Nothobranchius furzeri: one gene and its partners. The protein of the gene in region 1 purifies or fractionates together with the protein of each later gene. This does not show direct contact. Links are inferred from orthologs where the notes say so. Each region holds a gene or a part of one and is shown on either strand. Other genes may lie near its edges. The genes, in order: pip4k2aa, stk11 and ahcyl1.

Region 1 (3,655 bases):
TGCGCAAGAGCGTTATGTTATCGCTCACTGCGAGCCAGTTGTAAACAGAGCAGCATGGTAGAAAGAACGCACGCTAAAGCTTGGGTCCACTTCTCTAAATGTGATGGGTAACTGGGTGATGATGAAACCAGCGACAACGATCTAAATGAGACATCCTCATCTTAATCTGCTCCGGTAGGCAAATAAAATGTTTAAGATAACGTTAGCTTGATATGTTAGCTTCTGTTTCACTAATGGTGCGTTCGCTTTCTCCTCGAAACTCAGAATTTCCGACTAGAAGAACATAAACGCGCTCTAAATTTGGCTTCACTTTACTAAATGCAACGGGTGATTGGGTGAAGATGAAACCAGTGACAACAATCTAAGTGTGAGGCATCATCGTTTAAATCTGCTCCAGCAGTTAAATAAACTGTTTAAGATAACGTTAGCTTGATATGTTAGCTTCCATTGTTGTCAGCTAATGGTGTGTTCGCTTTCTCCTTGGAAATTCTAACTTCCCAGTAGGAAAAATCAAATGAAAAAAGACGGCAAAAGGAATGAAGATACACAGTAAATTTAGTTCACAGTAAAGATGTTTGCTTCAGTTTAATTATCAGCTTATAAAACTACACGGACGATGTTAAAATACAAACAGTTGAATGTTATTTATCGTGATATTTATCAAATATTGTTATATATTGACAAAAATATATATTTAATTATAAAAGAGAATTAAAATAATAAACACTCAAAAGTATCAAATCGGTACTGTTAAGTACCGGTATCGATTCCTAGGTACCGGGAATTCGTACCGAATCGATTCAAATGTCAAAGGTACCCATCCCTACATTTTACTAAGAAAATGTCATGTAATAACATGAATGTAATACGCGTTTATAACTGTCAAGTCTTGCAGCATGTTTGAATGTCGTTACTAAGGAACAGAGGGACAAGATGCCTTTTTGTCTTTGATCAAGGTGTCCCCCACTTTAACTTAAACGCAACCTATCGGCACGAAAAGCTACTGGTATGTTGCCTTGTCAACGCTGTGTTTGTGGCAGAAATGGTGGATTTTACCGCTAGTGAGTGTATTTTGTTGATTTAAGCTCTGCTGTTTGGCGGTTTTCCTCCATACGCTGCTGCTGCACCTCCTAAATGTCAAACACCAAGAACTGGGATAACTACCTCGTTCATTCTATGTAGAACGCCACAAAAGAATCCAGTTTAACCGTATTGAGATTAAATATATTAAGTGAAAGATTCTCATTAAAACTGTGTTTGTATGTCGTTATGAGAGTTTCTTGTTAAAGAGAAAATCTTATCACATTTTAACAAGAAATGTTCTCATTATTGCAAGATTCTGCTCCCGTATTTTTATTTCATCGCACGGCAAAAGGCTTCCGTACCAAACCCAGTGAGGAACAGACTTAACGTCCATGAAGTTGGATTTCTATTTAACGATGCTGCTGCAGGAGGGCCTGCAGCCTATAAGGGACAGAGATGCTATGTAGGAGGGGACGGGGACCTGGTTCTGAAGCGCTGAGGGGATAAACAAAGAGCAGGAAATGAGGTAACAGGGCAACAGCTGCAGTTTAGCTACAATGTTTCTATGGCAGCGGGAGGAGAGCGGCAACACAACTTCAGCTCAGACGGGACACACACTCACTCACACACACACACCAAGAACAGATCTTTGCACAAACCCACCAAACAGACTTGAGCACATGTATACAGAGACATAGACCTCCAGTTCTCAGTAAATATGGGATGTTTAACTATGACTGGAAGATGAGACTTAAAATGTGACGGAAAAGAAGCATCATGAGGCAGAGTGAACAGAAGTCTCCATCTCTGCTGATTAGAACAACAAATGATGTACTTCACTGATTCAAAACAGAAAAACAGAAGTATTTATCTGAGGCAGGAAGATGAAACACCCTTCATAGCAGGTCAGTTTCACAACAACTCACAGATACATGTTTTAATTGTGTTCACGTCCTTTTAGACACCTACAAAAGTGCAGAATCAACAGTGATGGCAGCATTTATAACACTACTGTTCGTAAAAACAGAAAAGACAGATCATAATGCTGCTCCAAAAAAAAAAACAAATAAATAAATAAACCCCTTTAACTGATAACCTGAGCAAATAGGTGACTGGAAATGAATGAAATGTGTGCAAAACAGTTTCTGGAGAAAACGTGGAAACAAAAAAAGTTGATTTGCAAAAAATAAATAAGCAAAATAAAGAGAAATCTGTGTATGTTGCAATAAAATGAAGAGTGTTTTTAATAGATCATGCCTGATATGAGCCCTGGTTCTCTTACATCTCTTACGTGTTTCATGGCGCAGTAAAAGCGCGTGGCAATCCGCAGAGTTTGCAGCCTTTGCTGAACGTTACCAGATTTGGGCCGCGGGGGCACATCCTCTGATGGGGGAGGCTGCTAGAAAAAGGGGGGAGTAAGGGAGAGGAGAGAAGAAAGGAAAGAGGAAGGAAGTTGGAAGGCAAAGTGTAGCAAAAGTAACAGAGCATAAATCTTTTTTCCCTGCCTTTTTTTTAAAGAAGGGTTAGGAAAGGGCGATAAATCGATCATCAAGTATAACAGCCTGATTTTGTGTAAATACATGTGTAAGTTTGCTCTTTGGCACGATTTTAAACTATAAAATAATTCCAATGTTGAAAATTAAAGCAGATATCAGAAGTTTTTTCTCAGAGGACACCATCTAGAGGTGAAACAATGTACTGCACCTTAAAGGTTCAATATCATGTCATTTTAAACCATTGGAAGCAAATGTAGGCCAATATTAAATATCACCGTTGGCACTATTGAGATGTGATTTATCTTAAAGACGAGTTATTTTCATCAGCCTAAATTTCAACTTGGAAATAAAACTCTTAGTTTCCCATAGGGCAGCTAGCTGCGCCTCATGGCGAGACTAGTTTCCACTGAGGCTTTACAGGATTTTCAAAGTAAAACTCAAAATATGCAGCTGAGACAGGAACATGCATGAATGCAGCCAAAAACGCGTTTGAGTTTTTTTCATGAGGAAATAATATTAAAAAGTAAAAAGCTCCAAACAGTGGATTTTCCATGATGTGGCCCCTTTAAGCTCCCATACGTCTGTGATTTTTGCTGGAAGCAATGCCTCTCGCTTGTAAATGTGCATCTCTATCCGGACAATTAAAACATTTGCAATTATTTTTGTTATGTTGTTTTTCACGATTTTTAAACATATGTTAATAAGAAATGTCACCAACTCTGAATCAGTCTAGGTGCGCCCACCAACGTGTGTGCATGCTCCACATCTGTACGTAAGCTAATGCTGAGCGGTGCTCAATTCAAAGTGCACGGGGAGGGCTTATATGCAAGACTATACATACTTTATTAAAAGGTGCTCTGAGTGATGTTTTTCATAATTATTCTCTTTCCTGCCGTAAAGTTGCCACAGTGGTGGTGAATCTCTAAAGGGGAAGGATCTCAGCCTCAGACAAGCAAGGAAACCACTAAGTCCATTTATTTTCTACAACCCTGAGCAGGTGAGCTACATCTAAAGTTCTAGCGTTTCTAATGAAAGGGAGACAAAAATACCAAGGCTGCACACTCATTCGCTTCACAATATTAGAACCAAGCGCCCTCATCTGCAGAGAGGACAGAAAGGACCAGATCGTGAATTAA
Region 2 (4,453 bases), on another chromosome or scaffold:
TTATCATGTTTTCAAGTGATGATTTGAGCATGAAGTGTTGTTTGTATTGTTGTGCTGTTTTAAAAACCAATATGAAGAGAAGTTAGCCTAATTTTTTAACTGTGTTAACTCAAAATAATTAATAACCCAGCTTTGTAGTAGGTCTGATGCTACGGCGCTGCAAGTTTTTTTTTTTCCAAGAATGACAATCTATAACAGGCTTACAAAAAAATAAAAACAACTTACTTTTTCACATTGGCTTCTCCGTTGGGAATCCTCCTAAGCTTTTTCTTCTTCAGTATCTTCACAGCCCTGCGACAAAGTGTTTCCGAGTCCAGCATTTCTTTCACTTTGCCATAAGATCCTTCCCCTAGCAGATCTCCCATCAGATACTTTCCAATCAGCTTTGCCCTCTTCCTCCGTGGCTGATAGATCACCTCTGTAGAGTCAATGCGGTGAATGAAAGTGTCCATCTCCATAAGTTCGTTTTCATTTAGATAATCAAGATGCTGCAGCTCCCTGGCACTCATGACTGGTGGTTCTACAACCACAGCCTAAGCCTTACGTGCAAAAAATAAACGTTTGAAAACTGGCTATGATTGCTGCTGGGGTGTAATCTGCTGTTAGCCTTTCAGCACTGAACCGAGGGTTTCCATTAGAGAAGTTTTAAAATGCGGAAAATGCGAAGGAGAGAAATAAAGCCTGAGAACTGACGAAAGGTAAGAGAGAAATCTAAAACCTGTAAAAATTAGGGCTCATTTTAGACAGAAACTAAAAGAGGTGCAGAACCTATTGGCTCAAGTGCTAATTTAGTGCTTTAGACTGTGCATTATGAGCTACGTCTTTGATGAGTGCAGCTAAACAGAACTTCAAATGGGAAAAAAAAGGATTCTACACTATTATTTTCTTTTCCGACGGTCTAGGCTATCGTTTTATAGTTTAATACCATACAACTTTAGGTAAAGGAAACCAGTCTTGTTTCAAGGCCTTGCAGCACAGCATTTCTGTCAAAGGTCCTTGCTGGATGTCATAGTTTCCACCCGACACATAAGTGTTTATAGTTGGATTGGATCCAGGCATAAATTGACAACCAAAGCATGCAGCAGTATCAATCCAATCCCTGGTGTCAGTCAGGCTCCAGGGGATCGACTGAACTGTCCACCACGCTGAACTGCCCTCAGGTGTCCTCCATGTCACTACAGTTTCTACAGCCTGATGTCTGAGGAAAAAGGGCAAAAAAAAATATTTAATTATCAGAACAATCACTGATTGTTTTGCAAAATTACATTTGAGTAAAAATCTATTTACACATATTTAAACACCTGGGTAAACATCTTGTGATCAGACACAGGAACATGATCCTTTTCATTAATACAAACAAAAAAAACAACTTTGTCAGAAAGTACTGTGACACAGTTTTGTTAAGTTTTCTACTTAATTGGCTGATCACAACATATTTGAGGGACTTGCTTAAGAGTTTGGGCTTAAAATGCAAAAACTGAGCTTTCAAATAGGTGGTATTCACATCTTGAGAAAGGGTTGAGGAATTACAGCTAGAATCCTCTTGTATAAGGGCTCAAATGTGGACAAAAAACCTCGGGTATTTCTTAATAAGCCGTAGTTTAACAGTAACGTGGGGAAACAACTAAAAACAACAAAAATGTGTGAACACCTTAGAGCTAGCGGTTAGCAGAAAATTTGACTGAATGAATTAGCTTTCCAGTATTAACTTCAACTTATTCGGCGTGCCCCTTTAGAACAATCATGAAAAGTTTAAAACCAAAGTAACTTGTTTGGCCGGTGACCAACTGAGGGGGTGCGGGGAGACTAGCGAAACGTCGTCACACAACTGTAGCTAACGATGAATGATGTGCAGAAGCTTCATCAGACGTTACAATTAACCAACTTCACAAGAAGACGCGCGATATTATCCAACTATATCGCAGTGTGTTTGTCTGATAATAAAACCAAACTCAGTTCTAAAACGTAACGAGCTTTAAATTTCACCAGAAGGATCCAGCTAACACGGGCTAACGGAGACGCTCAGATTCCAATGCAATTTGCTAGCTAGCAAGCTAAGCAGCTACAGTAACCGGCTCTTACCTTAATCTTTATGAAGGTTATTTCTTTGTGAGGCTTAAATACTTTTAACGTGTTCGTCCTCGATTAATCAAACGTTCCGCTTCAGTATAACACAATATCAGTAAAAATTTCCTCACTATTCGTGCTACTCTTGCCTCTCAGGTTGTCGCCATCTTGTTTACCTCCCCCCCTAGCAGCCCCAACACGTTACTGCGTCAAATCAAAGTCCTCCTCCCCACCCCTCCCCTTCTGGAGCAACAACAAAACTGACCTGTCTGCTTTATTTTTACGTCATTAATTCCCTAAAAACGCACAGTAAAGAATACATTATTTTTATTTAAAAAATGAGTGCAATGTAAGTTAGACGAAAATAAAAATAATCAAAAAGAAAATTACAGGAAAATAACATCTTTTGCATATTTTGTTGTTTCCGCAGATTTTTTTAAATTTACATTATTTTCGTATATTGTAAAAAATTACTAAATTATCTAACTTTCATTTTTGTTCCTTTGCAGTTTCAACTATGTGAATTTATGGTATTAATATAAAACGATCAGGGCTTTGTTTTGAAAAATTCATAACATTTTTTCAAATCTGTGACCTTCTTCATAACTCACTAAAGCATAAGTGAAAAATGATAGTTAAAAACTAATAGGACAGTCTTAGTATAATATGGCGCAGCTTTATATTTTATTTTTTATAAATTCTGCAAAACTCCCCCACAATTCGTTCATTTCACCTTTAAAATTAAAGCACCTTTTGTTAATCGTTGTTTTATTTGCAAAAGTAAATGTTATTGTGCTAAAACTAGAGTCAAATAGAAATGCACCGATTCGTGTTTCGAGGGCTGATGCTGATTTCTGCACAGGTCTGACCTGCTAATATCAATTTTGGCATAATCTGCATTATCTTAAAGAACTATAATTACCAGAATTTATTTTATTTCAAGACCAGAAGTAAAAAATTTGGCATGGAAAATCTGTTTGCACTTTATTGCTGTTTAAAAGGGGGGGATCTACTCTTTGGGACTCAAATCAGCTGAATGTTGGGCGATTGGCATCACCAGTCATTTATTGAGTGCACTCCTACTTGAAAGCACTTATTAAAAACTCAAGCACGTTCAAAACCTATAAAATGGTAAAATTAAAGTATTTTTAAAGATTTCAAACTCCCAAAAAATCTCATCGACAATTTTTAGGAACTATTTAGGCAAAATAAATGAAACAAAACGTATCTATTGAAACCTGCATTTTGTAACACTTTAAAACCCAGTGAGTTTGCGCCACCCCTACAACTGATGTTTTTAACTTTATCAACCTCAGATGTTCCTGGTGTGGCCAAAAGGTGTCTCTTGCTTAGCTGGGGTCTCCAGGGTTATATTTATCCCATGTAAACCTCTCTAAGGAATGGCAAACTGAAGGTCTGATTTCACTGGTCTGTTATCCTCCTCACAGGTCGCTCCAGTCCAATCGTCTCTGCTTTACGGCAATGAAGAAATGAAAAAATACCAACGAGAAAAAGACAAAAACAGATTTAGGTTAAATTTTTCTAAAGTCAGCATTTGTTAGGACTTGGGTAACAATTTCAGATTTCAGTAAGATATCTTTTTTATTGTCATCACTGCAGCATACAATGAGAGGAAGCAATAATTACAGCACAGTGAAAACATCACTAGATGCACAAATTACACAGAAGAGTGTGTTCTTATGCAAAACTGTTATATAGTCAGGAGGGCAAAGATTTCTGAGGATGCAAAATGATGAGAGTAAAATCATCACAGAAACTAAATACAAGTTTTTATAAACTGTAACACGTTACATTATAAAGCTGAAATGCAACAAAAGCGTGAGCTGTGTTATTTTTGTTTTGTGGTAAACATAAAATGTAGCTAATCTGTTGTTAATTTTTGGATTTCAATAACTTCTCTGACACGTAGGACTCAAACATCTCCACAGCTAAAACGTTCAATTAATGCGCGAGCAGACAAGAGGCAGATGCAGAAACGAGCTTTAGAAGTGGTCCTCTGTATCAGTAATACGGCCTCCGGGGATTGTTCTGCAGGAAGATAACACAGCAGATTCAAATATAGTATCAAAGGACACTTAAACTCTGTCCACACACAAAAAATTCCTATAATTAAAAATGTGTGGCTGCATGATAACGAGATCCTATATGAAGTTTCAAATGAGTGCAAATGCAAATTAGAGCAACGTTAAGAAAAAATGTTACCAGCGGGTTGGGCCTGAAGCGGTAAGCAAGCATCATCCTCTTTCTGAAAGCGTCATACTCATCATCGTTTCTTGTGAGCTCAGCTGGGCGGTCGATTCCTAATCCCGCTCCGTTCATGGCTGTGTTTCCCCTGCAGCGCAAAGGAGACAGAAACACGAAATGA
Region 3 (2,550 bases), on another chromosome or scaffold:
TTTGTAGTTGGAAAAAGCTCCTGTGGCTCTTGTCCTTGGAGGTTTCCCACATTCCTTTTGGGGGGAATATGGAAGGCCAGCTATCTTTAAACAAAACACACATTAATCCATCTAAATCTCTTGTTACCACAGAGTTTTATGATCCTTTCAGTAGTGATCTGCAGCTCCACAGGTAAGGTATTAAATCATATTAAAATCCAGTCACTTTGTTTAAATAACTAGAGGCTGTAAGCACACACACCATTCATTCAATGAGATAATTTCATGCATATAAAATATTCATATAACTCAAGTTTGTTGTGGCTCAGCCTAAACTCCAGCTCAAGGAATGTGCCTGTCAAATCTCAATGCCACTATATATAAATACGGCCATAATTTGGCACTGTGCGTAAGTAGAGTAAACGAATGAATCGGCAGCTTTGCGATCAAGGAACAAAACTAATCCGCATCAACACATGCAAGCAGGCCGCTCTTCAAAGACAAGACAAAATGTTAATTGGTTATATATTAAATTCTTTCTATATGCATTACTCTGAAATGTTGAACTACTTTTTGAGGTGCTATTAATAAGTTACATTCGGCTTAAGTAAAATAACTTCTCCGTTTTGTAGCATTTTTGAAAGTAAAATAGACATCTCTGTTCATCCCGTGCCAACTTTGAACCCTTCACCGAGTTCCAGACGTCCTCTCTAATACCTGAGAACAAAATACAAAGTCGTCAGCTTTTTGCACAAACATTGTGTAATAAATTTTAAAAAAGCAGTGAAAAGATGCATCAGAGTGACACCGACCTGTAATAATTAGGTTTGAAAGGTCCATTCTTGTTGAGCCCCATGTACTTGGCCTGCTCGTCAGAAAGCTCCGTCAGGTGGGCGTCAAAGTTGGGAAGGTGCAGACTTGCCACATACTCGTCTGATCACAGAGACGGATTGTAACACATATGATCTTTGAGTGGTGCTTTTCTCAAGTAATGTTCAAAAGTGGAAGCAGTGAGCAGCAGCTCCAACTCTTACCCATTTTCTTGGGCAGAAGATAAACATCTTGTTTGTATCTTCCTTCTGGAGCGTTGTACAGCTCGATCAAAGCCAGGGCCTACGGACAACACAGAGCGTATAATGGCTACAAATCATCACAATGTCTTTAAAAACCCCGTTCCTTCCTGCAGGATCAGACCTCTTACCTGAGTTGTAGCAGTGATGGACAAAACAAAAGTAGGCACCGTAGAACAGCTCAGGTTTAAGAGGCGACCCTGAAAATGGTCCAGAAGACACACGATTGTGGATTTTGCTTTTCTGGAATAAAATAACTTTTATTTTGTGTTGCTCACCAACGGTGATGAAAAAAAAAACTTTGTGAGAGTTTACCTCTGCCAGCAGGATCACCCTCTTTCCATCTGGCCAGATGATGTGGTCAACCTGAGAGCGAACCCTCTCCCAGGTCAGTTCAGGGCTGCGGAGACTTGCCTGTGGATAGAAAAATATATATAAACATCTAAAAAATACTACACTTCAACAAACATTACCTATAATAATCTAAAACTAATTTAATCCAATAATCAGCCTTGATCTGATTCACTAGTGGAGTCAGCCCTAATTCAAGATGGCCACCAAAGCTGATCAACATTCTGAAAAACAAAATGGCTTTAACTTGGTCAAACATACAGATTCTGGGCTCAAATCTGATGTGTTAGCAGCTGGGAGTCACTCCCACTGCATGCTCTGAGTGCTAGCAGTTGATATTTAGTGATTTGGTGAATAATAATATTCTCAAGACTTAAAACAGCTACAACTGCATCATTTTGGCATGAAAGGCAGCAGGTGGTATGCAGTTCAAAAAATACTAGAAATGTGTTTATGTGTTAACCTACAGACATAAACACATATATGCCCCATGGACTGGCACTGCCTATTAGAGCTGCCGTAGTGGTCGACCGCCATCTTAGATGGGTCTCCATTTGCCCCCAGTGGATTCATTTCTACTGAGGGAGGAGTTTACCTACTAAAAAACACATTTTATCAAGCTTTTTCACAAAATCAGACATGTTATGGCAGTGGTCCTCAAATGGCGGCCCACGGGCCACGTCCAGCCCGCGAGCCCTCTCTTTGTGGCCCCCAAACCCTGCGTGCACCCCCCACCCCGACGGCTGACCGGGATGTGTAGGATAGATAGAGCTGAGGAAAATAATCAAATAATCAATGCATGAGATGCAGGCATAAACGATTCTGCATCATAGAAGAGGAGCCATAATCAGTTATAGTGGAATGTGGTTTTGTTATTTTAATGGCGGCATCAGTGCAGCATCCACATCTGTCAGAGCGGTGTTCTCCACATTTACGGGGTAGGAAACTTTGTTCTGCCTTTATGTGGTACTGCAGGGCTGAGCACTGGAGTTATAACCTGAGACCGAACCGAGTCAGCCCGATAGGTTCTGTTGGATTTGGGCGGTGAATTATGTTAATTGAGCGGGTTGTCGCGCGGCACGCTCCGCTCGCTCAGTCAGCGACTGAGAGAAAGAGAGAGAGAGAGAGAGAGAGATTGTGTGCTCTCACA

The links.
Region 2: the proteins of pip4k2aa (region 1) and stk11 purify together in Homo sapiens (affinity purification with mass spectrometry; 3 studies listed by BioGRID and IntAct, counting the BioPlex papers as one, with this or other methods). This does not show direct contact. The link is inferred for Nothobranchius furzeri from reciprocal best matches to the Homo sapiens genes PIP4K2A and STK11.
Region 3: the proteins of pip4k2aa (region 1) and ahcyl1 purify together in Homo sapiens (co-immunoprecipitation; 3 studies listed by BioGRID and IntAct, counting the BioPlex papers as one, with this or other methods). This does not show direct contact. The link is inferred for Nothobranchius furzeri from reciprocal best matches to the Homo sapiens genes PIP4K2A and AHCYL1.

Annotation. Positions count from the first base shown.
Region 1 is NC_091747.1:55,186,578-55,190,232, forward strand, and holds part of pip4k2aa (phosphatidylinositol 5-phosphate 4-kinase type-2 alpha), read right to left. Parts: intron 2,423-3,655; coding exon 2,306-2,422; intron 1-2,305. UniProt on the Homo sapiens protein: Catalyzes the phosphorylation of phosphatidylinositol 5-phosphate (PtdIns5P) on the fourth hydroxyl of the myo-inositol ring, to form phosphatidylinositol 4,5-bisphosphate (PtdIns(4,5)P2). Has both ATP- and GTP-dependent kinase activities.
Region 2 is NC_091751.1:56,737,909-56,742,361, forward strand, and holds the start of stk11 (serine/threonine-protein kinase STK11), read right to left. Parts: upstream 2,841-4,453; 5' UTR 2,083-2,840; intron 1,199-2,082; 5' UTR 510-1,198; coding exon 226-509; intron 1-225. Other genes in the region: sugp1 (SURP and G-patch domain-containing protein 1), read right to left, coding at 4,090-4,116, 4,291-4,420. UniProt on the Homo sapiens protein: Tumor suppressor serine/threonine-protein kinase that controls the activity of AMP-activated protein kinase (AMPK) family members, thereby playing a role in various processes such as cell metabolism, cell polarity, apoptosis and DNA damage response.
Region 3 is NC_091755.1:28,356,554-28,359,103, forward strand, and holds the end of ahcyl1 (S-adenosylhomocysteine hydrolase-like protein 1), read right to left. Parts: intron 1,464-2,550; coding exon 1,365-1,463; intron 1,250-1,364; coding exon 1,181-1,249; intron 1,093-1,180; coding exon 1,014-1,092; intron 913-1,013; coding exon 792-912; intron 697-791; coding exon 690-696; 3' UTR 523-689; downstream 1-522. UniProt on the Homo sapiens protein: Multifaceted cellular regulator which coordinates several essential cellular functions including regulation of epithelial HCO3(-) and fluid secretion, mRNA processing and DNA replication.